Linked DNA regions of Oryza sativa Japonica Group. The protein of the gene in region 1 binds, or shares a complex with, the protein of each later gene. Links are inferred from orthologs where the notes say so. Each region holds a gene or a part of one and is shown on either strand. Other genes may lie near its edges.

Region 1 (3,306 bases):
TCGATAACTTATAGATGTTTTTTTTCTAAGTCGGAATAGATGGTTCATTTGCTGCTCAATATACAGTTCATTTTAAGATCAGTCTAGGTGAGCCTGATATAAGTAGCAGCGTAAACAGTTTATTTGCAGCATTACTGAATAGTACTATTTTCTTACTGCGTGGAATTGTACTCTGCAGTTTAGTACAACACAACTACCTAAGTAGCATGATGACATTAGTACTTAATGCAGCGATGGCATTTTTCTAAAAAAAGATTGAGATGCAGTTTTGTAATTGGCAATTTTTGAATTGTATGACACTCTTTTGCAGAATAATGCACATGAAGATCAATTCAGGCCATGGGTTGATGTTTCTAAAGACCACGAGGTTATTCCTTTGATCGATTGAGATTTACACATTGCAGCTGGTCAAACCCTCAAGTCCAAAACATTAAACATCTATTTGCGGGAATGACTCTCTTAAGGGTGACGTAATGTCATCAGCAGAGATTGTCTCGTATCTATATGGAATGAGATAAATAAATATATTGCCAATGATCGAGAAATAATTCCCTATTGGAATATGCGCACATCCTCTTTGCAAATAATTTAACATTGAGTTTTGCCTGTGAATTTGAGGGCTGGATTCCATGTTCTACCTGATCTCACCATCATAAAGCAATAAAGCAGTGGTGTTATTTCAATGTGATTGGATTACCTGAAGTATCGACATTTTCACACCGCTAATACTCAGCAAAAACCATAGAACGGAAATGCCATGAAACTAGAGTGCTAGACCCTTCCTTAGTCTTCACGACAGGGTAATACCCTCAGTTTGCTCAGCTTCTCTTTATGTAACCATGTTGGAGTCGACAAAATTATTATCGACTGTGAATGTTCTGCTTTTGTATGAACCCGATTTGAGTTCGGAAATACCCTAGCTCATGGCTCTTCTGGAAGAGCAAAATATACATTGGGCATCTTTGAACGGGAAAATCATTGATAGTTACATGCTTTCTCTTTAGGGTACAACACGCATTCTATTTTACATCTGGGATCTGGCTGCTGTTGAATTTGATCCTTGGTTTGCCCATGCTGAAATTGAGGACTCTAGACATCATGTTGTACTTTATCTCCCCATCGTATAGCAGTTTGCGGATGAAGTGCTCAAGATCAGATCCGATCAAACGAAGCGTGTACTCTGACAGCTCCGCGCCCTGTAAATTCAATCCAGGTCAGTTAAGCAGGTACTACCAATTAAGCTCTTACAACTAACATTTCCACCTGGAGAAAGAGACCATGGGTGTACACTACTGCTACCCTGCATTTGCAATTGCCAATTCTGCCTATGAGTTACGGTGCGTAGTATACCTCGTAGTGATCGACGAGGTCCTGGAACTCGTCGTAGACCTTCTGGCACGTCTCGTCGGTCCAGACGAACTCGTCGGTGGGGTCGAGGAGGAGGGTGAGCTTGTCCATCTGCGTCTGGTCGAAGGCGTTGGTCTCCGGGTTGATGTACGCGGCGTAGATGCGGATGTGCCGCGTCGTGCAACTCAGCCACTGCCCGCCGTACTCCCGGCTCATGTTCTTGCTCTCCGCCAGCGGCTGCACCGGCAGCGGCTGCGCCGGCCCCTGCCTCCTCGTCTTCCGCTCCCGCCTCTGCTCCTCCTCCTGCGGCGGCGGCGGCAGGTTTTCCACCGCCGCCTCCTCCTCCTCCTCTTTCACCTGCTGCTGCTGATCTTGGGCTCGCACCGGCGGGAACCTGACGCTTCGTCGCGCCGTCCACGTCGCGCGCGGGAGCCGGCGCTCGAGCGACAGCTTGGCCGGGGACAGGAACGGGGACGCCGTGGTTGCCATGCTGCGCGCAGCTGTTTCGCTTGGCTTTGGCTTGGCTTGTGTTTGTGTTGCGTGGGTGGTGGTGGTTTTTTTAGGTTTGCTGCGCCTGCGCGCGCGCGGCTAAGCTGCCGTGCCGTGCCGCCTTGGAGCCACTGGCTGTGTGTGGCTTGTGTGGATAAGGGCTATTTCTGGCACTGGGTTTCAGCGACTCGTACATGTTCTGGGCCAATTGACCACACAAATGTATTGGGCTGTGGACGTTGGCACGGCCTGTTGCATTGCATGACAGAGCTGAGCAGCACGCGCTCTCGTGTGGTATGGATAAATACTGTTGCATTTCTGACAAAACTTTGTATGTGACTGTTTTTTTATAACTCCATGTGGTGTGACGGTGATTTCATACTTAAAGAAGTAACCCACTTTTCCTCGGCACAGCAAAAGCAGAGGATACGCATACTCCATGGCCTTTAAAATAACGAGAGTAATTTTTTTTCCTTTTCACTTTGTGATGATCGCTTCACATGAAAGGCAAAGCAAAAGCCTCTGTAGTGATTTTAAGCTTTCTCAGGCGGGAAAAGTCTGTTCAGGATTACTCCATCCGTCCTATTTTAAGTGCAACCATAAATTTCCGTGTCTAACTTTGATCATCCGTCTTATTTGAAAATTTTTTATAATTAGTATTTTTGTTGTTGTTATGTGATGATACAACATGAATAGCACTTTACCCGTGACTTATGTTTTTAATTTTTTTTAAATAAGACGGACCGTTAAAATTAGGCGCGGAAAATCATGGCTACACTTAAAATGGGACGAACAGAGTAAAATACTTGGGAGACATGTACGTCGTACACCGGAGACTTGGAACACTTAAAACACTTTATTATATATAAACAACTTGTTCATATATATATATATATATATTGGGCAGTAATGTAATCTTGGCAGCAATCAATTACTACAACTAACGTGTATGCATGGTGCAGCAAATAGAATACTTACAACTAACGTACGAATGAACCAATTCAAACGAATGAAATTTAATCATGTATTTATGTACAAAGGAGAGACATAAGAACGTAGCTCGAGCTAGCCATGGACATTGGTCTGCATCGCCGGCGGCAGCAGCTCAGGAAGCCCGGGCGTCGATGCAACGATGAGGGGTATCACGGGGAGGTTCTCGCAGTTGCAGACCTCGATCATATTGCCGTCGGGGTCGTGGAAGAAGAGCTGGTCCACCACCGTCTCCCCGTCCCACACTTTCCTCACGACGAACTCCCGGTCCATGGCTCGTAGCCTCGCCTTCATGACCGCCATGTCTGAGCACTGCCATTCGCTCAAATCGAGTTAAGACAAATACGAACTCTGCTCTCGAACATAACAGTAGCTGATCGACCTGCGTGCATGCGACTGATACCTGGAAGGAAACGTGGTTTCCCATCGGGTTGATCGCCGGCAGCGGTCTTGTCGGGATGCTGCAACCGTCGGCGTCGT
Region 2 (2,786 bases), on another chromosome or scaffold:
GCATAAAATCTGGAGTTGTGTTGTATAAGTGAGCATGAATTTCTTATCATTCAATGAGCATCTTGTATTTCATAGAAATTGGGGGTTATATAGTCCTTACGTAAGGGCCAGCCTATCCAACTTTCAGGCATTAGGATACGTTTAAGGCGTGGATGATTATCATAAGAGATTCCCACCATATCAAAAGATTCGCGTTCTTGAAAATCGGAACTTCTCCAAATCCAGAAGACAGATGGGATTCTAGGATTATCCTTTTGGGCAAAGACTTTTATGCATACTTCTTCTGGGTTATCTATACCATACTGTATTCTCGTAAGATGATACACGCTAGCTAAAGATCCACCGGGTGCAACGTCATAAGCACATTGGGAACGTAAATAATTGTAACCATATACATATAAAATGACAGCAATGGAATCCCAATCCTCTGCTTTTATTTGCAAAGTCTCTATTCCTCGATGATCGAAGCCCAAAGATCTATGAACCACCTCATGTTTGACTAGCCAATTAGATAACCAACCCTGCTGCATTATCTTGATCTCTCCTCCTTTGTATAAATATTTCGCAGTTCGAATGCAAGTTTGAAATATTGCCCTGCTCTTTCTTTTTCGGCACAAAGAGCTCCTCCTAATTCACTAATTTGTAGGAAGATACTGGACTTTTGGATTTGAAAAAAGTTTCAGAAGATATGTCTAAAGTAGATGGTGATTGATAGAGCAATTCTTGCTCATAAGTTCCAGTATTAGTACTGCGCCGAACATAAAGCTTGTGGCTGGTAGTAAAACATCGATTTTTCTTTTGAGATAGAGTTCGATCCTCAACTATTTCTCGCGATATCTTCTTACGAAGTTTTGTTAGGGCATCTATAACAGCCTCTGGTTTAGGTGGGCAACCCGGCAAGTAGACGTCCACAGGAATTAACTTATCAACTCCCCGAACAGTACTATAGGAATCCGTACTGAACATTCCACCAGTAATAGTACAAGCTCCCATAGCAATGACGTATTTTGGTTCAGGCATTTGCTCATATAATCTCACTAAAGAGGGAGCCATTTTCATTGTTACTGTACCGGCTGTTAAAATTAGGTCCGCTTGCCTAGGACTTGATCTTGGTACCAATCCATAACGATCAAAGTCGAATCGTGAGCCTATTAATGAAGCAAATTCAATGAAACAACAACTGGTACCATATAGAAGGGGCCATAAACTAGAGAGTCTTGACCAATTCGAAAGATCTTTTAGTGTAGTTGAAATAACGGAATTGGAACTTCTTTGGTCAAGTAGGGGAAACTCAATCAAACTCATAACTGTCTTAATGGAATCTTTTCCTTCTTTTTTTTTTTTGTCTGAATATTCAGTTAAGACCATTCCAAGGCTCCTTTTCGCCATGCATAAACTAAACCAACAACTAGGATAAGCACGAAAATGAAAGCTTCGATAAAAACGGATATACCCAATACGTCGAAACTCATTGCCCAAGGGTAGAGAAAGACCGTTTCCACATCAAAAACAACAAAAACTAGCGCAAACATGTAATAGCGTATTCGGAATTGTAACCAAGCCCCCCCCATGGGTTCTATACCCGATTCATAACTAGAAAGCTTCTCTGGTCCTTCACGAACCGGAGCTAAAAGTGCTGAAATCCAAAATGCTAAAATAGGAATAAGGCTTGCTATTATTAGAAATGCCCAAAAAATATCATATTCGTGAAGCAGAAACATAAATGTACTCCCATTAATGTGGAATAGGCGGAACTGAATTAGTCAATTCAAGTCAGCATTGTCAATTTATACAGAATTTCTCTCTTTTCCTCGGTGAAACAAGGATCGGTTTTTCTCAAACCAAAGGCTTAGTTTAGCCTTTGTTTCCTCTTTGCCACGTCTTCTTTAAAGATTCATCCAATGGAATCCCGACCCCCTTTCTTTTTGATTTCCTTTCTATTTAGGTATGGTGGAGACATAATTCTTATAGAAACAAAACTCTCTCGCTTCACTTTGTCTCATTTTCTCTAGAATCTCTAGAAAAAGGAATAAAAACGAAAATACTACGAATTAGAGCCTAATTAAGATAGGATGACTAATGTATGCAGCCTAATGAGGAGTAATTCTATAAAAATAAAGAACTCTATTTCAGAACGTAGATTGATTTAGATTTAGGTAATCTATAGATATAGATAAGCAAAGTAATATACTTCAAACAAAGTAGGAATTTGCAAGATGGAGAACATCTTGCAGTTGATTTGATAGAAATTCATTTTTCTTTTCCTGTCTCTATAATTTTCGATGAATGAGCCTCTGGTAATCCTTTTATCTCTATTTTATGGCGCAGGCGCCTGTCCAGTCTATAAACAAGTACTAATAGGGAAATGAAAACTATACTAAAGGAAACGTAGGATATCTCTCCTAAAATCTAAAAAAGGACATATTAGGGCTATACGGATTCGAACCGTAGACCTTCTCGGTAAAACAGATCAAACGGATTATTATCGAAATGATTCGAACTGTTTCAAAGACCCAACATGCATTTTTTTTGCATTGGGCTCTTTTATCAACTGATAGAAAGATCAGTTAGTCCACCATAGTTTTTCTTTACGGAAAGATAATGAGATGGCTCCCTGCGCTCTGATTGATTATTTGTATTATGATCTATCTAAGAGCAATACCAAAGTGTTTCAAAGGAGGATTACCTTGACTTAGGTCTCGCCGGCCTAAATTAAATCAACCTAAGTGAAATAGAGTCTCTATCGTTCCGCTACAAGAGTTGACTATGAGACTTCATACACCTTA

The links.
Region 2: the proteins of nAD(P)H-quinone oxidoreductase subunit M, chloroplastic (region 1) and ndhK are in contact, whole or in part, in a cryo-EM structure (PDB 7WFG), measured with the Arabidopsis thaliana proteins. The link is inferred for Oryza sativa Japonica Group from reciprocal best matches to the Arabidopsis thaliana genes NdhM and ndhK. Residues at the interface, in NP_001031804.1 of Arabidopsis thaliana: Trp89, Ser91, Val93, Thr94, Arg95, Ile104, Asp105, Pro106, Glu107, Asp117, Lys118, Leu119, Thr120, Leu121, Ile122, Leu123, Asp124, Thr126, Val130, Trp131, Glu151, Ala153, Pro154, Leu155, Arg161, Gln181, Tyr182, Asn183, Met184, Asp185; in NP_051063.1 of Arabidopsis thaliana: Ser3, Ile4, Lys5, Phe6, Pro7, Met83, Pro87, Val90, Arg91, Tyr101, Val126, Asp127, Lys128, Leu129, Ile130, Pro131, Val132, Asp133, Tyr135, Lys156, Glu160, Arg173, Cys174, Phe175, Thr176, Thr177, Asn178, His179, Lys180, Val183.

What each region holds. Positions count from the first base shown.
Region 1 is NC_089038.1:27,480,271-27,483,576, reverse strand, and holds nAD(P)H-quinone oxidoreductase subunit M, chloroplastic, read right to left. Parts: upstream 1,877-3,306; 5' UTR 1,837-1,876; coding exon 1,351-1,836; intron 1,197-1,350; coding exon 1,020-1,196; 3' UTR 656-1,019; downstream 1-655. Other genes in the region: uncharacterized LOC4336531, read left to right, coding at 311-388; uncharacterized LOC4336529, read right to left, coding at 2,902-3,138, 3,230-3,306. UniProt on the Arabidopsis thaliana protein: NDH shuttles electrons from NAD(P)H:plastoquinone, via FMN and iron-sulfur (Fe-S) centers, to quinones in the photosynthetic chain and possibly in a chloroplast respiratory chain.
Region 2 is NC_001320.1:47,942-50,727, forward strand, and holds ndhK (NADH dehydrogenase subunit K), read right to left. Parts: upstream 1,306-2,786; coding exon 628-1,305; downstream 1-627. Other genes in the region: ndhJ (NADH dehydrogenase subunit J), read right to left, coding at 51-530; ndhC (NADH dehydrogenase subunit 3), read right to left, coding at 1,359-1,721. UniProt on the Arabidopsis thaliana protein: NDH shuttles electrons from NAD(P)H:plastoquinone, via FMN and iron-sulfur (Fe-S) centers, to quinones in the photosynthetic chain and possibly in a chloroplast respiratory chain.